Macaca mulatta: one gene and its partners. The protein of the gene in region 2 binds, or shares a complex with, the protein of the main gene of each other region. Links are inferred from orthologs where the notes say so. Each region holds a gene or a part of one and is shown on either strand. Other genes may lie near its edges.

Region 1 (6,393 bases), on a different chromosome or scaffold from region 2:
GTAGGAGATAGAGAGAGGATGAATATCTGACCTTGTCAAGAAAACCTTCCTGGAAGAGATGATGGTGTTTATGTCTTACATGAGAGTTAGGAGTTAGATAAGTCAGAAAAGAAAGTGGTGAAGGGTAGGGTCCCTCTAGCTCAGAGAACAGCATATACTAAAGCATGGAAATAAGGAGAGATTATACCTTATTTAGGAAATACAAACAGAGATTTAAAGTTTCAAGGAGTCTGTCTTGTGAAGAGCAAGGAAGAAGATTATTGAAGGTAAGGGGAACTGCATATACAAAATAGTCCGAAGCAGGAGAGTTTGGTGTGTTCTAAGAGCTGCAAGCAGGCCAACGTGAACAGGATGTGGTGACAGGCCAGAGCTTCATTACAGAGCTTCATAGGCCGTGGTGAGGAGTTTGAATTTTTTCTCAAAAGGAAGTGAGGAACAGTTGAAGGGTGTTTGTTAAAAAGAAGGATGCTGTGATCAATTTTGCATTTCAGGAAGATCACCGTTGGTGATATTATAGAGGACAAATTAGAGGAAACAGACTGATGTCAAGGACAGCCACTGGGAAGCTATTGCAGGAGGAGAGCTTGATATAAGACCACAGCTGTGAGATGGGAAAGAGGTAGATTTGAAAGAGGTCTAGGAGGTGACTGATTCCATACTATGAGGTGAGGGAGGAGTAGTCCAAGACAACCACAAGGTCTCTGGTTTGGGCAACTTGTTAGATGGGTACAAAAGAAAGCATAGGGTTGAGATGGAGAGAAGGATGAAAAGTAATGAGCTTAATTTTATACATTTCAAGATTGAAGTAATTTGGAGACATCTGTGTAACATAATATGGGTCTAGAAGATAGGATCAATGTATAGGATAGAATGTAAAAGTATAAATTTGCTCTTAATATCATGGGTGGGTGACTAAAACTGTAGATCCTTTCCCAGGAAAATATCCTACATTCACAACCAAAATTATATGAATTTGCCGGGAATTTTTTTCAGATCTCCTGAGGCCTGAGCATGGAAGGCCTAGGTTGGTGGTTGTCAACTTTTAGTGCTTAAACATCTTGTTGAAAACATTCATAATTTCTGCCCCCAGAGATTTTGGTTCAATAAGTCTGCAATGAGGACTAGAATTTCAGGTGTTAATAAACAACTATGTAATACCATCTAAAGACCAGACTTTGAGGACCACTGCTTTAGGGGTCCACAAGTCTCAAATTAAGAATCCTGCTTTCACTACGACTCACCAGATCAAAGAAAGAATCACGAAATAAAAATGATCTACTTGGGGTTATTTCTTCCTTCTTCTCTCCCCTCTTTCTTCCCTTCATTCCTCCCTCTGTTAATGCTGGGTACCATTCTAGGAGTTGAAGATACAACAGTAAGCAAAACAGGCCAGAATTTTAGCCCTCATGGAGTGTATGCTATAGTTGGATGAGAGACAATACACATACAAATAATTAAAATGTATGGTGTATCAGATAGGTGATAAGTACTTTGGAAAATAAGCCAGGGAAGGGGAAAGAGTACTGGAGGTAAGTGTGTGGTTCTGCCATTTTAATAGGGTAATCTCATCACCAAGACGGTAATATTTGAGCAAAGATCCGAAGGAGATGAAAGAGCAAGCAATGAAGAGATATCTGGAATAGAGTGTTTGTTTCAGGCTAGAGAGAACAGCAACTCCAAAGCTGGCTAGTGTTGCTGGGGTGGAGTTGTAGGAGATTATGTCAGGGAGGTTTAGACTGCATAGGACCTTGAGTGAGTTGGGGACCCACTAGAGGGTTTTCAGAAGAGAAGTGATGCTATGACTTGGATTATAGAAATCTCAGCTTCTGCACTACACCTCTTCTACCTGAGTTGATCCGTGTTGAGGTCAGTATGCTGCCCAACTGCCTTCAGAAGCCACATTTCCCACTGAGATAAGAATAGGAATATAGACAGATACAATAGCCCGGGTGATATGGGGGTGAAGTCTGCTGCACAAAGGAGCTGGGCATGAATTGAGCAAACAACCTTTCCTGGGGTATCCCATAATTACATAGTTGGCTTAGAGCAGAACCCAGGGCTATTCCCACCTGTAGCAGATTCTTCAAAGGCTTGTAATTCAACACAAAAGAAAACAAAATAAAGAAAAACCTAGTTTAGAATGCAATAAGGAGATTCAGTGGATGCAGTAGATCTCTAGAAATGAAAGGGGAAATTGAGTGCCTGGCAAATACTCATTTTCCATTTCTACAGGATGGAGAAGATGAAAGTGCAGAGTATGATGAATATGTTGATGGTGATGAAAAGAACCTGATGAGAGAAAGAATTGCCAAAAAGTTAAAAAAGGACACAAGCGCGAATGTTAAATCAGCTGGAGAAGGAGAAGTGGAGAAGAAATCAGTCAGCCGCAGGTGAGTCAGTTACTGTGCTAGGTATCAGACTTTTTGTCTTTTTATATTTCACTTTAATTCAGATTGAATCCTCTCTTCAGCTAATTTTTAAAATACTATTTTCATATTGTTTGATAAACATAACAGTTGTACAAATTGGCCCAGTAGCGGGCCTAAAATAAAATACACCAAGCTTAAAGTAAACATAGTAATGATCCTGTGAGTTCAATTCCATTTTATTTCTCTCTGATCCTTTTTTAGAAAGGCTCTATAAGTTCATATATATAGGCTAATAATGTATTAGCTAGATGTGAAAGAATGCATTTGTTAAATACCAGTGAGAGCAGTAGAGTAATTGTATAGAAAGAAAAGAGACATCCTCAAATAATTTAGGTGAGCAAAATTTGTCAAAATTGATGAAGAAAATGTGTGGGCCTGAAAACGTTCTTAAATATCTTTTCAAGTCTGATTTACCAAATACCATATACCTATCCTAAGCTCAGTAGTATCATAAAATAAATTTCAGCAAATGATGAAAAGTTTACTGTCTGGTGATAAAAGTTTGTTGGATTTATAACTCAACATTTTATTCTCCTGAAATTCAACTTAATTGAAAAAATTATCTCCTTTGTGATTCTATTTCAACTTCATAGTATACATTTTAAATAACATTGCTTTAATTATTTAAAGCAATATTTAAAATAATTATTGTTTTCTTCAAATACTATTTAGGGATAAGATGAATGTAACTACATTTAAATAACATTCTTTTTCTCAATCATGTTTCTCAACCACATGTAGAAAAACTGAAAAAGGATTTCCATGCTATCATTGCATAGCTCCCTCAATTTTTTTCTTTATGTAATCAAATAAAAATTATTCCCAGAAATTTCCACTAAAAGCGTAGCTTTGAACATTTAGAAATGGCACTTAGGAGTCATCTTAAGTGTCTTTTTTCCAGCAATATTCACCCGACACTCAAGTAATCACTGTTGAATAATTTTATATACTAAATTATATTATATATACTATATATAGTAGCTAATATAGACTAAAGATTTTAGTGATCATATGCATGCTTCTAGATTCATAGAGTTGAAAAACCTCTCATTAGCACTGTGACTTTTAGTTAAATCATGAATATAATTATGGATACATAATGTTTTATTCCACTCATTCAAGGCATGTGTTTTCTTATTTTAAAAAATTATGAATTTTTTAAAGGTTAGGTTTATAATGTAACAAAAATATATTTAAAAATTTTAATAGATGAACCAACCAAATATTTATGTTATATATGAGTGTTCCTTAAACTCCCAACTCTGTCTTATAGGCTTTAATAAATTTCAAGTATTTATATACCCTATAATATAAATTATAATTTAGCAATGCTAAATTTTGTATAAGAACTGAAGTTTATTTTTAATGCACCTTTCATAAGTGTCTTTAAAAAATTGTTTAACTAATGTTAAGAAAAGTCAAAGTTCGCATTTTCCAAAATTATGTTCACTCTTACAATTAAGGGTTATTCTTAAAAGATTTCCTTGGCTGTAGTTTGGGCCTGATGACCAAACATGGCATTGATAGCTAGATTTAGGAATCTGATCTATCATGAGAATACTGGAGAGCCATTGAAGTTTTTACAGGCAAATGATACACTGAGATTGTATTTAGTATGGAGAATGGATTGATAGAGGAGTGTTTTGGGCCATTATACAAAATACCATAGACTGGATGACTTAAACAACAGACATTTAAAGCTTAGTTTTTATGCTGATTTCTTACATAGGAACGTATATATCCACTTACTCATGTAAGCAGTTTTTCTCTTTTTATAAATCAGTATAATTTGCAAAATTAAAATCGCATAATTTGTACTATTCACTGTAGAGGAAAAAGCTATATTCAAGCGCATTGCAAGTCTACTAAGAAAAGTAAATTAAATAAATTAAAAAAGTAAATTAAATACTTTTCTACTAAGAAAAGTAAATTAAATAAGAAATAAGTCTCCAAAGGTGGCTTGAATATTTTAGGTAAACATGAGTATTGTGGACATTATTGGATTCTTTTAGGTAAAATAATTGGCAAAGTGTGCCTTTGTAAATGGTGCAAACAGCACACATTTATTTATAACTGTTTTGTTCCCCCACATTTTCATTATTCACATTCTCTACTCTCCCTCCTTCATCCTATCTCTCCTACCTACAAAGAGAAACAAAAGAAAAATAAGGTCAGGATAGTAGAGAAAGTACAGAATTTCAAAGGGAAGAAACAGTTTTTTCCTCTAGTGTAGAAATTTCCAGGCCGGGCGCAGTGGCTCACGCCTGTAATCCCAGCACTTTGGGAGGCCGAGGCGGGTGGATCACCTGAGGTCAGGAGTTCGAGACCAGCCTGACCAACATGGAGAAACCTCGTCTCTACTAAAAATACAAAAAATTAGCTGGGCGTGGTGGCGCATGCCTATAATCCCAGCTACTGGGGAGGCTGAGGCAGGAGAATTGCTTGAGCCTGGGAGGCGGAGGTTGTGGTGAGCCGACATCGTGCCATTGCACTCCAGCCTGGGCAACAAGAGTGAAACTCCGCCTCAAAAAAAAAAAAAAAAAAGAAATTTCCATGATTGTGTCATGACCATGTATTTTTTCAGTTCGTGAAGTTGCCAAAATCAGACCCTGGCATGGTGGCTCATGCCTGTAATCCCAGCTGCTCAGCAGGCTGAGGTGGGAGAGTTGCTTGAGCCTAGGAGCTCTAGGCTGCAGTGAGCTATGATCGTGCATGGGTGACACAGCAAGACCCTGTCTCTAAAAAAATACAAATAAATTTTAAAAAATTTCCAGATCATTAGTACTTTTGGTTATTTATACCAGCAAGTCTCTGGAGTTAACTTTATGGTTAAAAAATAAAACAACAAAACATAGGAAAGCTCCAAATGTACTGAAAAATTACAATGTGGTAAAAAGGATAATTATATTTAAAGGAAAGTCACTGCTCAGTTTGGGTTGTAATGGGTATAGCTGCCAGCCAGATAGGATGTCAGTGTGAAATCATTATCTATTAAAAAATGAGTACTCTTGATACATAACTTCTTGTCTGGTTGTGCTTGAAGTACTCTATTATCCTTTGGTCATTTTTCCATTTAAGCAGTAGGATCAAAGACTAGACTAGCCTACCAGCCCTTTAAGCAAGGAGCCATTCAAAGTATAATTTTACTGAAAATGTATGGTATTGCTTCTTTTGGTAAGGAAACATCCGGAATCTGTTAAAACTGTTTATCACTTTGGATGTTAAACCTACACATGTATTTATTGAGTGCTTAATATTTAAACTAGAGAATGATATTTAACAGTATAGTTTTCAACAAGTTTACATACAGTAAGATCTTCTCCTAGTAATGTGTTCGCAACAGTGTCTCTAGTTGTTCATTTGAAAAAAGGGCTCAGGGGAAATACAAATCCAAAATGCTTCCTAGTTTCTCTCCTTAGAGAATAGGCACCCTTATATCTATTCTGACTTCCTGGGATTTCTAATCCCTTTCCTCTTCCCTTTTTAAAATGTACCAATCCCACTTTCTTTCCAGCCCACTTTCTCTATGCCTATATCTTGACTACTGGATACAGCTCAGCAGAATCACACAGCTATATACAAGCTGGTATTATTATGGATTTCTAGATTCCAGCCTCAGCTGTGTCTCCAGTGCTTCCTTTTTACTCACTCGCCACAATGTTTACTTCACACTTCAAACTCACTCACTCAGTCGATCACCTTGCTGCTGGTTGTTTTATGAAATGAGAGTGAATTTCTTCAACCCATGTTCCTTTATCTTCCTCGCTTCAAGAGTAAAAACTAACTAAACCATTCCATTTTATTTCCTATCCCTACCTCCTTCCTATTTATTTCTAAATACACATCATTTAGCTTCTTGCCTACCACTCCACTGAAACTACTCCCACTAAGGCCATCTTATTGATAATCGACTGACTATTTTCCAATTTTTTTTTCTTGGTCTCCCTGCTATGGAGATTTTTGT
Region 2 (6,393 bases):
TACCCTTTCTACCTGCTGGGGGTTGGCCAGATTTGACAGGCCACCTCGCCAATTAGCCCCAAGTCAACAAGCAGCTCTGTTACATAAGGCTCCTAGTTCCTGCCAAATGTTGCCATGCCAGAGTAAGGAGAGGGCAAGGAACTCCTCCAAATTTAGCATCTAATTGGCAGCCATCAAGAGTGAGGCCTTGAAGTGTAAACCCTTGGAGATCTGAGATTCTGTCTTTTATGTGCCTGGGAAATGTATCCTCAGAAAACTGCTTTTCAGCTTGGCCTGAATTTGGCAAATCTCTCCTTTCTACTAACTAATAACTTACAGATCACCTCCTCTTATTCAAACTTGAAACTATATATAGTCCTGTAGACTACAGGAAGGCTGGCCAGTCTCTTGGCCAAGAGTGATTTATTCAGCCCATTGACTTCATGAGATTCTGTTTTGATGATGAGTATACTTGTAATAACAATAGCTATAATTAATTCTGTGTGCCAGGCACTTTGCGTATATTACCTCATTATTTTTCTCAACAAAATTATGAGATCAATATTTTCTCCATCATTGTAACTAAGAAGCTTAGAGAAGTTAAATGATCTGCAATTATTTAACTTCTCTGAGCTAAGCTTACTTAGCTAGTAAATAGCTGCACTGAGACTTGAACCCCAGTCTTTCTGACTCCAGAGCTCATACTCTTTTACTGTGCCACACTGCCAATAATTGAATTAATGAGGACCACCTTTTTGTGCGTGACAGGAAAGAAGACAGTAGGAAGGGTATGAGTATCAGAGCCAAGGAGTCTAGACTGATGGAGTTCCTGCTTCTCCTCCATCTTGCTCAGAGCTTAGTTTCTATGGAGCCTAGCTGATGACAGCTAAATAGTATAATTAAGAAGCTCTTGTTTATTTGCATTTTAGACCAAAAGTGTAATGTTGGATTAGAACTAGGCATTTTATAATCCAGTACTGGTGAATGTACCATTTTTATGATCAAGTACTGGTGAGTTGTTGATTGCACAAAACAAAATATGTAAATAATTTTAAATACCTGCTTCAAAACCACCAGCCCTTTATATTTACCAACAGATAAATTTTACTTCATCAGATTAAGATAATAGACCCTTTATTTTTAGCCAGTATATTTATGGATGGTTAAGTGAAAGTAAAATACGGGAGTATATTAAGAGCTCCAGAGTCTTGGGTTCAGCTCTGTAGTTTCTGTGGCTGCTGAAGAGGTGGTCAGGAATATAGGAACCCCCTGCTGGGCTCCTGGTCACTTCTGTCTGCTCCATGGCAGGAAGCCTTCAGCACAAGACATCAAGGCAAGCTTGAATAAGAAAAACAATTTCTTCTTCCTAAGCCATGTCATATCAGTTATACAGAAGTACTACTTTGGGAAACAGTCTTCAGGAGAGCCTAGATGAGCTCATACAATCTCAGCAGTTCACTCAACTTGCCCTTCAAGTTTTACTTCAGTTTGATAAGGCTATAAACGCATCATTTTGGCTCAGAGGGTTAGGAACAGAGTTGATTTCAGTGGCTCTCTAAATACATACAGATTCTGCCATATGCCATGCATGGTGGCTCATGCCTGTCATCCCAGCACTTTGGGAGGTGAAGGCGGGAGGATCGCTTGAGGCGAGGAGTTCAAGACCAGCCTCGACAACATAGGAAGACACTGTCTCTACAAAAAAAAAAAAATTAATTTAGAAAAACAAAAAGATTCTGTGATAATATGTAGACTTTTATATTCAATGATATTGAATTACAAAAGGTGATAGAACTTATTAAAGTGGATAAAGTGAAAATTATGGCCTGTGATGATAAAAATACTGGCTGTAATACTACCGAATGAATAGGAAAAAAATCACGTTTTTATGACATCTTCTGTTACTATTCATCACTTTTGAAGAGAAATGTAAAAATTTTTTTATTCTAGCATTGCAGAAATTACATTGTGTTATTTTGGTATTTCGGTAGTTTTCAGTAGTATTCAGAGTATTTCAGTAGAAAGAAATTTAAAACTCTATAGCCTCTTATATTACCTTTATTATACAGCATGAAAAAAACATGAGACAGGATCTCACTCTGTCACCCAGGCTGGAGTGCAGTAGTGCCATCTCAGCTCACTGCAGCCTCTACCTGCTGGACTCAGTCAGTCCTCCCACCTTGGCCTCCCGAGTAGCTGGGACCACAGGCATGCACCACCACACCTGGCTAATTTTTTTTGTAGAGACGGGGTTTTACCATGTTGTCTAAGCTGGTCTCAAGCGCCTGAGCTCAAGCAGTCCATCAGCCTTGGCGCCCCAAAGTGCTAGGATTACAGACGTGAGCCACCATGCCCAGCCTCATAATTTTTTTTAATGACAAATAAAAATTTTGTCTTCCTAAGAACATTCTCTAATAAGCTTTTTTTTTTTTTTAAGAGTTCTAATTTTAGTTTTGCCATTGATGAACTGTATTGCCTTGGAAACGTCACTGTGCCCCAGTTTTCTTATCTCTAAAATAGGGAGTTTAGAAAAGCTGATATCTTTTTTCTCCTTTTTTTTTTTGGAGACGGAGTCTTACTCCGTCACCCAGGCTAGAGGACAGTGCCACGGTCTTGGCTCACTACAACCTCTGCCTCCCAGGTTCAAGCAATTCTCCTACTTCAGCCTCCCAAGTAGTTGGGATTACAGGCACACGCTACCACACCTGGCTAATTTTTTGTATTTTTAGTAGAGACTGGGTTTCACCTTGTTGGCCAGGCTGGTCTCAAACTCCTGACCTCAGACGATCCACCCACCTCAGCCTCCCAAAGTGCTGGGATTATAGGCATGAGCCACCATACCCAACCTAGACAAGCTGATTTCTATTGGCCCCTTCCCATTCTATAATTCAGTATTCCTTCTGCCTGATAATTCAATGGAAAATTTGACTCAAGTGAGTATTAGGTTAGCAAATAGTATAAATATTTTATATACCAGACACTTCCTGTCCTTTCTCGGGGCTTTGTTTGAATACAGTACGAAAAAGTTCACCCGGATCTGCAGCCTAGGCTCCCACCCTGCCATGAGTTGTGTTACCTTTTAGACTTCCTGGATGAGTATGAAGTTAACTGTAGCCTAATTATACTAGACACTCTGAAAAAGGTTTTTGTGTGATGTCTGCAGGAAAACCTTTCTCTTCTTCCCTGTGGTGTTTCCCATTTCAGAAGCTTGTATTCAAACATGCCAGTAATGCTTATATTTTTAGTTATTCTTATTTCTCCACCCCATTGCTCAAGAGCTGAGTTCATGTCTTATTCAAACTCTGTATTCCTAGTTTCTAAAAGCCAGAACACGGTTCAGTAAATGTAAGGTAAGTAAATAATTGTTGCTTCCATTTCCTTTAAAAAGCCATGCCTCTGCCTTACCCCCAGCTCTAGGAGGCCTTACCCTTGCTTTTCATGATACCTTACAGGTTTGTGTATGTGTGGGATACCACAAGCAGGAGAATATTATATAAGCTGCCCGGCCATGCTGGCTCCATCAATGAAGTTGCTTTCCACCCTGACGAGCCCATCAGTAAGTCTTTCCCAACAAGGGGGAAAGGGAAACTGGAAATCTCCCCGTAGGGATCCTGGGAATACAGAGGCAAAAGTGGGTATCTGTTTTATGCGAATTTCCATGCAAACAGCCTTTGGTGTTTTGTGTGGTTTTTTTTGTTTTTTTGTATGGTTTTTTTTTTTTTTTGAGACAGAGTCTCGCTGTTTCGCCCAGGTTGGAGCAATGGTGCAATCTCAGCTCACCGCAACCTCTGCCTCCTGGGTTCAAGCAGTTCTCCTGCCTCAGCCTCCCAAGTAGCTGGCATTACAGGCACACCACCATGCCCAGCTAATTTGTTTTTTTTGTCTTTTTTTTTTTTTTGGTATTTTTAGTAGAGACAGGGTTTCACCATATTGGTCAGGCTGGTCACGAACTCCTGACCTCAAGTAATCCACCCACCTCAGCCTCCCAAAGTGCTGGGATTACAGGCGTGAGTCACTGTGCCCAGCTGCAAACAGTCTTTTTTTTTTTTTTTTTTTTTTTTTTTTTTTTTTTTTTTTTTTTTTTTTTTTTTTTTGAGACGGAGTCTCGCTCTGTCGCCCGGGCTGGAGTGCAGTGGCCGGATCTCAGCTCACTGCAAGCTCCGCCTCCCGGGTTTACGCCATTCTCCTGCCTCAGCCTCCCGAATAGCTGGGACTACAGGCGCCCGCCACCTCGCCCGGCTAGTTTTTTGTATTTTTTTTAGTAGAGACGGGGTTTCACCGTGTTAGCCAGGATGGTCTCGATCTCCTGACCTCGTGATCCGCCTGCCTCGGCCTCCCAGAGTGCTGGGATTACAGGCTTGAGCCACCGCGCCCGGCCTGCAAACAGTCTTTATGTGGGTATCAATGACACTCTCACCACCTCATAAGTGGTAAGGGTAAGAGCAATGCTCTATTTTCTTCTTGATTTCAAAAGGAAGTTGGTAAGTCTAATTTTTTTTTTTTAAATTTACTTCCATCAAGTCTGTTTCAATGATGTATTTGGATAAAAGAACGATACTTTTTTTTTTCTTTTTTTTTAAGACGGAGTCTCACTCTTGTTGCCCAGGCTAGGATGCAGTGGCAAGATCTCGGCTCACTGCAACCTCTGCCTTCCCAGGTTCAAGCGATTCTCCTGCCTTAGCCTCCCAAGTAGCTGGGACTACAGGCACCCACCATCACACCTGCCTAATTTTTGTATTTTTAGTAGAGACGAGGTTTCACCATGTTGGCCAGGCCTGGTCTGGCCTCCCAAAGTGCTGGGATTACAGGTGTGAGCCACCATGCCCAACCAAGAATGATTCTTCTTAATATTTGGATATAGGCCGGGCGCGGTGGCTCAAGCCTGTAATCCCAGCACTTTGGGAGGCCGAGACGGGTGGATCACGAGGTCAGGAGATCGAGACCATCCTGGTTAACACGGTGAAACCCCGTCTCTACTAAAAAATACAAAAAACTAGCCGGGCGAGGTGGCGGGCGCCTGTAGTCCCAGCTACTTGGGAGGCTGAGGCAGGAGAATGGCATGAAGCCGGGAGGCGGCGCTTGCAGTGAGCCAAGATCGTGCCACTGCACTCCAGCCTGGGTGACAGAGCGAGACTCCGTCTCAAAAAAAAAAAAAAAAAAAATTTGGATATACATTTCAGCTTAAAATTTTGTGGCTGGCTAAACCAAATAATTTAAGCCTTGAATTAAAGGAGAAACTGTAACTTTCTCCAGGACTAAGTATAACAAGCAGAAGCACATTTACAAAATGACTGGCACAGCCATAGATTCCTCTTTTCTACAATGATTGGGAAAGTCTTTTTCTTGGGGTTTGACTGACAAAAGACATCAGTATTTAGTGTCTGATAATGTATTTCCCATAGTACAGTCATCCTCATGATATTAGAGGATTTGGATTGAAAAGCCAGGCTACAATTTCCTGTGAATGGTGTTTAGGAGGGGAATTTAAGCTAAGTCCAACTGCTCTTTTATACCAAAATTGGGCACCAAGTCTCCTTGAGCCTTCATTATTTCTAGGTATCTTCTCTGTTCTTTTTACCTCAGTTATCTCAGCATCGAGTGACAAGAGACTGTATATGGGAGAGATTCAGTGAAGATACGGAATGGAAGACTCCAAGACCGCTTGTCTTTGAGACCTCAGACTGCATAACTGACATCAAATGTTGGATGCCCAGGCTAGCACCCTCCCTTCAGATGACCATTGCTAGCAAGAAACAGGAGGCGGTGGCCATATTCCAAAAACCACTTCTGTCCGATTTCACCAGGATGACTAAGGCAAGCTCCCCAAGCTCCCCGTGGCCTCTAAAAACCACCTGCCAGATTTCAGGGACTGTTTTATTTTTTTTCTTTTTCTTTTTTCCTGTTTTCTAATGCAGGCCCAATGTGACAAATTTGTTGGTTGGGATTTTTTTTTTTTTTGTGAGACTGGCTTGTATGATATTTTCTTTCTGTATTTCTCTAAGTCCTTTTGTATTAAAAACCAAATAGATGCCTTTATACAAGAGCCATGTGGATTGGAATTATTGTCTTTTTTTTTTTTTTTTTGAGGCTTGATTGCTATAAATCAGAGTAGAGCTTGATGTGGCCACGGAATACAGTTCATTTAAACTTCCAAGAAGCTGTTCACTTGTTTCCCCCCCCCCCTTTTATGTGTTTCTGGGTTTACTGACTTCCATGAAAATGACAGAGAATAATTATTTATCAGTAACAATATTTTTTTCCTACTAGAAGCAGAGCAGCCAAGATGTGATAAATAAGTTCCAAAAGAACCTGGTTTTGCCAGACGCGGTGGCTCACGCCTGTAATCCCAACACTTGGGGAGGCCAAGGCGAGCGAATCACCTGAGGTCGGGAGTTTTAGACCAGCCTGGCTAAC
Region 3 (5,947 bases), on a different chromosome or scaffold from region 2:
AGACCGGGTAACTTATGAGAAAAGAGGTTTAATTGGCTCACAGTTCTGCAGGCTGTACAGGAAGTATGGTACCGGCATTTGCTTCTCGGGAGGCCTCAGGACCTTCCAATCATGGCAGAAGGCAAAGGGGAACAGGGACGTCGCACGGTGAAAGCTGGGGCGGAGTGTCACACACTTAAACAACCTCAGCTCACTACCCCAGGACATCACCAAGAGGATGACGCTCAACCATTGATGAGAAATCCATCCCATGATCCAGTCCCCTCCCACCAGGCCCCACCTGCAACCCTGGGAGTTACGTTTCAACCTGAGATTTGGGTAGGGACAAATATCCAAGCTATATCAAATGGTGAAGTAATGGCATAGCCGTTTGATGAATCATGCGGCCACAAAAGTTTTCCGTTTTTGGAAAGTAGGTAATGTATGTAAAAGAATGCTCATAATTGGCCGGCAGGGTGGCTCACGCCTGTAATTCCAGCACTTTGAGAGGCTGAGGTGGGTGGATCACCTGTCAGGAGTTTGAGATCAGCCTGGCCAATATGGTGAAACCTCATCTCTACTAAAAATACAAAAATTAGCCAGATGCACTAGCACGCACCTGTAATCCCAGCTACATGGGAGGCTGAGGCTGGAGAATAGCTTGAACCCAGGAGGTGGAGGTTGCAGTGAGCCAAGATCGTGCCACTGCACTCCAGACTGGGTGACAGATCGAGACTCTGTCTCAAAAAAAAAGAAAGCTCGGCTGGGCGCGGTGGCTCAAGCCTGTAATCCCAGCACTTTGGGAGGCCTAGACGGGCGGATCACGAGGTCAGGAGATCGAGACCATCCTGGCTAACACGGTGAAACCCCTTCTCTACTAAAAAATACAAAAACTAGCCAGGCGAGGTGACGGGCGCCTGTAGTCCCAGCTACTCGGGAGGCTGAGGCAGGAGAATGGCGTGAACCCGGGAGGCGGAGCTTGCAGTGAGCTGAGATCCAGCCACAGCACTCCAGCCTGGGCCACAGAGCGAGACTCTGTCTCAAAAAAAAAAGAAAAGAAAGCTCATAATTAAAGCAGGATACAAAATATTGTACGATCACAATATGACCACAGTTTGCTATGTCTGAACAGAAATAGTATAAGCAAAATATATCTATAAGAAAGGGGGGAAAGAATATAGTAAAAAAAGTGCAAGGCGTGGTGGCTCGTGCCTGTAATTGCAGCACTTTGGGAAGCCAAGGCAGGCGTATCACTTGAGTCCAGGAGTTCAAGACTAGTCTGGGCAACATGGCAAAACCCTGTCTCTACAAAAAATACAAAAATTAGCCAGGTGTGGTGGTACGTGCCTGTAGTCCCAGCTACTTGGGAGGCTGAGATGGGTGGATCGCTTGAGCCCAGGAGGCAGAGGTTGCAGTGAGCCAAGATCTTGCCACTGCACTCCAGCCTGGGCAGCAGAGCCAGACCCTGTCTCCGAAAAAAAGATAACAGCAATCACCCCTGGGTGTTGGGATTGGAGGTGATTTTATTTTCTTTTTATTTTTCTGGCTTTTCTTTTTTTTTTTTTTTTTTTTTTTTTTTTGAGACGGAGTCTTGCTCTGTAGCCCGGGCTGGAGTGCAGTGGCCGAATCTCAGCTCACTGCAAGCTCCGCCTCCCGGGTTTACGCCATTCTCCTGCCTCAGCCTCCGGAGTAGCTGGGACTACAGGCGCCCGCCACCTCGCCCGGCTAGTTTTTTGTATTTTTTAGTAGAGACGGGGTTTCACTGTGTTAGCCAGGATGGTCTCGATCTCCTGACCTCGTGATCCGCCCGTCTCGGCCTCCCAAAGTGCTGGGATTACAGGCTTGAGCCACCGCGCCCGGCCTTTTCTGGCTTTTCTAAATCTCTGATAAACTTGCAGTTAAAGAAGAAATAACAGGAAATGTGTTTTATTGGGGTATTATTAGTATTTGCAAGTGTTCAAACCTAACTGCAGGAAAATGATGGCAGGATTCTACAGGCATATTTTAGAGCAGCTGTGAGATGCATGTAACTATGTAAAGGTTCGTATAGATGATTACTAGATCAGCATAAATGCTATATCTGTGGACGTTTTCTGCAGGACTTTCATAACTTGTCACCTGAGTGAAATTTAATTCCTAGGCAATTCTGGGAAATGGTGGCATGAGGCAGAAGGAGCCAGTGGCCAGTCCTGAAGTGTTCTGGGAAACGGTGGCGTGAGGTGGAAGGAGCCGGTGGCCAGGGTCCCGGCTATGATTGCACCACTGTGCTCTGTGGACGACAGAGTGAGACCCTGTCTCAAAAAAAAACAAAACAAAAGTTGCCCTGATCCACACAAATTCTTGGTTTTGTTTTTATAAATGTGCTTTTATAAAGTGAAAGCCAAAGTGTTCTGTTATTTCAGTTTTTTTTTTTTTTTAATCTCCTTTTAGGTTAAAAATTTTGCAGTTATTTATCTTGTGGATATTACAGAAGTACCTGACTTCAACAAAATGTATGAGTTATACGATCCTTGTACTGTCATGTTTTTCTTCAGGTATGTTATTTTAAAGTCGTTATTGAAACTGAATATTGTCAGTTTGGAAGTTTAATGTAACCAAGATCTCTTTATTTTATTTTGAAGGAAGTTGGTTCTACAGTCATATCCCAATAGCATTTGTATCACCAGGCAATCAGTGTGAATCTTTTAAATAATTTTCAAAGTAACAATTCTAGTTTTAGCATTTATTTAATAACAAATTATCCTTTTGAAATAACTTTGCTGGGAAACTAGGTAAAGTGTAATTCAATGAAAGACATTCTTACTGACATTTTAGATACCTTGAACTAATCTGTTCATCAAAAATGTGTTGTAAAATCACGAATTTAGGCCGGGTGCGGTGGCTCACGCCTACAATCCCAGCACTTTGGGAGGCTGAGGTGGGTGGATCACAAGGTTAGGAGTTCGAGACCAACCAGGCTAAGATGGTGAAACCTCGTCTCTACTAAAAATACAAAATTAGCCAGGCGTGGTGGTGCATGCCTGTAATTTCAGCTACTGGGAGGCTGAGGCAGGAGAATCACTTGAACCTGGGAGGTGGAGGTTGCAGTGAGCCGAGATTGCGCCATTGCACTCTGCCTAGGCAACAAGAGCAAAACTCCGTCTCAAAAAAAAAAAAAAAAAAACCTAATTTATTAAATACGATATCGACTTTAGTGTCCTTTTTTATATCTAAGAGGAACACCTGAACTGAATTACTTTGCTTATAAATACAAGATTATTTTATCAGCCCAGAAATTTCATTTTGGAAATTTAATGGGGAAGGAAATCACCATCTGATGCTGTTTTTGCTTGTTTAGTTACCATAGAGGTTGGTGAATTAGCTGCATGAGCATTAACCGTTCTCCAAAAGTGGAGCCTCCTGCTTGGTCAGGAAGGTCAGGTGGGTTGTACAGGGTGTGTATTAGTTTCATAGTCTTTGTAACAAATTAGCACACATTGAGCAGCTTAAATCACCCCCCTTTTCAGAGCTCACAGCTCTGTAAGTCAGACATCCAGGCAGGGCCCGCTGGATTCCTGCTCAGGGTCTCCCAAGGTCTGAACCATGGGCCAGGTGCTTCTCTGGAGCGTCTGAGGGGCTTGTTTGGGTTGTGGGCCGAATCCAGCTCTTCGTGGTGGAGAGTCTGAGATCTGCTTCCTTGCTGCTGTTACCTGAGGCCACGCTGCTGCTAGAGACCTCATCACCCTCAAAGCCAGCACCGGCATGCCGGCACGGTGAGGTATTTTCTTTTTTTTTGTTTGTTTGTTTTTTGAGACGGAGTCTCGCTCTGTCGCCCAGGGGCCGGATCTCAGCTCACTGCAAGCTCTGCCTCCCGGGTTTACGCCATTCTCCTGCCTCAGCCTCCCGAGTAGCTGGGACTACAGGCGCCCGCCACCTCGCCCGGCTAGTTTTTTGTATTTTTTAGTAGAGACGGGGTTTCACCGTGTTAGCCAGGATAGTCTCGATCTCCTGACCTCGTGATCCGCCCGTCTCGGCCTCCCAAAGCGCTGGGATTACAGGCTTGAGCCACCGCACCCGGCCATGTTGAGGTATTTTCACACAAGTTCTCTGACTTCCTGAAAAGTTCTGCCTGAGAAAATGCTCTGGTTTTAGAGGACTGTGATTAGATTAGACTTGCCTAAATAATCCAGGATAATCACCTTGTTTTATTGATTTATTGAGATGGAGTCTCACTCTGTCACCCAGGGTGGAGGGCAACGGTGCCATCACAGCATCCTTGAACTCCTGGCTTCAAGCCATCCTCTCGCCTCAGGCTGCCAAAGTGTGAGGCACTGCCGCGGTTCTGGGCATCGGGATACGCTCCCCTGGACATGCCTTAGGCTTCCTAGGCACCTCCTGTTTGGTGAGAAGATCTGTGAGGTGCACCTGCATTTCTTGTGAACTTTTGATCTTTCATAGGTTTCAGCAAAGGTTGCGTGGCCGACCCTCATCCTTTCCTCTGCTGTGCGTTCAGCAGCCATTTCTGAGTTTCAGCACCTTTGGCCATCCGGAGAGGCTCAAGAATTTATTCCTTTTGTTAACAGTTCTTACACGAATTTGCCTGTTTCCTCTCTTGAAGGCAGCACTTCCGAGACTTTGCTTGGAAGTTTCCGCAGCTAAATATCCCAAGTGTGTTGCTTTTGAGCTCTGATCTCCCATAACTGCGGACCCTGTGTCCCTGTTCCTTGGCCACTCTGTAACGGGGTCCCCTTTGCTCCGTTTCCCAGTAACGCACTCCTCACTTCCTTCCGAGCCCGCACCAGGCATTCCTAAAGTCCATATTCCTGTTAACAGCCTGTTTGAGGCAATAGAGGCCTTTTCTAATTCTTCAGGTGAGAACAGGGAGGGCCGTCTTAGGTCTGTGCCCCCCACAGCGTGCAGTGGAGGCCAGCCTGGGGCTGGAGATGCTGTGAGGGGCAAGGAGGCTGCAGGGAACAGCCTTGGATGGAGGCTGTAGCCTACTTAGTGTAGTTTGATATTCTTAGGACTGATGCTATACTCAGAAAAGAAGATGAAACTTCCTTCTGCTGTTGTTTCTGTGATTCAGAATATTAAGACAAATGGTACTTTAGTTACCTTATGCACTAAACATGTATCTTGAGCCCCCACCAGGTCTGTGGTCTAGTGGTGGGGCCTAATATCAGATAAGGCAGGATTCCCACTCTCACAGGACTTTGTCTGATAGAAGAAACAGCTGAGTAAATTAGCAGGGAATACTGAAGAAGTGAAAGGAGGCAGGTGTTTATGAGATGTAAATACTGAAGAAGTACCCCCAAGTCAGATAGGGCTACAGGGAGGGTACTACGGGCAGCCCCAGTCAGCGTAGAAGGATCTTGGTGCGTGCTGCATGGAGCGCCGGCCTGCAGCATGGAGAATGAGAGGGCGGCCAGAGGTGGGCTCCAGACCCTGATCAGATTTGCCTTTCCTGAACCACAGACTTCACTGGGAACGCTTTCTGTGGAATAGTAGGTGGAAGCCAAATGCATGATCTTGTGGAAGTGAACGTTAAAAAACAGTCTTCAGGTGGGGCATGCCTGCCGCCCAGCCACTCTGCAGGCCGGGGTTCAAGTCCGGCCTTAGCAACATAGACCTCATCTCTAAGAAAAATAATCAGGTCGGGCGCAGTGGCTCACACCTGTAATCCCAGCACTTTGGGAGGCCAAGGTGGGAGGATCACTTGAGGCCGTGAATTTGAGACCAGCTTGGGCAACATAGGGATACCCCATCTCTACAAAAAACTAGAAATTAGCTGGGTGTGGGGGCTCATGCCTGTTGTCCCTGTTACGTAGAGGACTGAGGTGGAAGGATCATTTGGGCCGGTAGGTTGATTTTGCTGCCGTGCCCTAGCCTGGACGACAGTGAGACCCCATCTCAGAAAGAAACTTCAACAAACCAGGATAAATTTATGCCAGTACAACAAAGGGCTAATATCATTATCTTGTAAAGTGCA

The links.
Region 1: SNRNP40 (region 2) and CWC27 share a complex: the UniProt entries of both Homo sapiens proteins name them as parts of the minor spliceosome. The link is inferred for Macaca mulatta from reciprocal best matches to the Homo sapiens genes SNRNP40 and CWC27.
Region 3: SNRNP40 (region 2) and TXNL4A share a complex: the UniProt entries of both Homo sapiens proteins name them as parts of the U4/U6-U5 tri-snRNP complex. The link is inferred for Macaca mulatta from reciprocal best matches to the Homo sapiens genes SNRNP40 and TXNL4A.

What each region holds. Positions count from the first base shown.
Region 1 is NC_133411.1:72,854,688-72,861,080, forward strand, and holds part of CWC27 (spliceosome-associated protein CWC27 homolog), read left to right. Parts: intron 1-2,232; coding exon 2,233-2,390; intron 2,391-6,393. UniProt on the Homo sapiens protein: As part of the spliceosome, plays a role in pre-mRNA splicing. Probable inactive PPIase with no peptidyl-prolyl cis-trans isomerase activity. As a component of the minor spliceosome, involved in the splicing of U12-type introns in pre-mRNAs.
Region 2 is NC_133406.1:209,600,285-209,606,677, forward strand, and holds the end of SNRNP40 (U5 small nuclear ribonucleoprotein 40 kDa protein), read left to right. Parts: intron 1-1,210; exon of another isoform or gene 1,211-1,560; intron 1,561-1,712; exon of another isoform or gene 1,713-1,988; intron 1,989-3,431; coding exon 3,432-3,535; intron 3,536-5,562; coding exon 5,563-5,612; downstream 5,613-6,393. UniProt on the Homo sapiens protein: Required for pre-mRNA splicing as component of the activated spliceosome. Component of the U5 small nuclear ribonucleoprotein (snRNP) complex and the U4/U6-U5 tri-snRNP complex, building blocks of the spliceosome.
Region 3 is NC_133423.1:1,033,881-1,039,827, forward strand, and holds part of TXNL4A (thioredoxin-like protein 4A), read left to right. Parts: intron 1-2,409; coding exon 2,410-2,513; intron 2,514-5,947. UniProt on the Homo sapiens protein: Plays a role in pre-mRNA splicing as component of the U5 snRNP and U4/U6-U5 tri-snRNP complexes that are involved in spliceosome assembly, and as component of the precatalytic spliceosome (spliceosome B complex).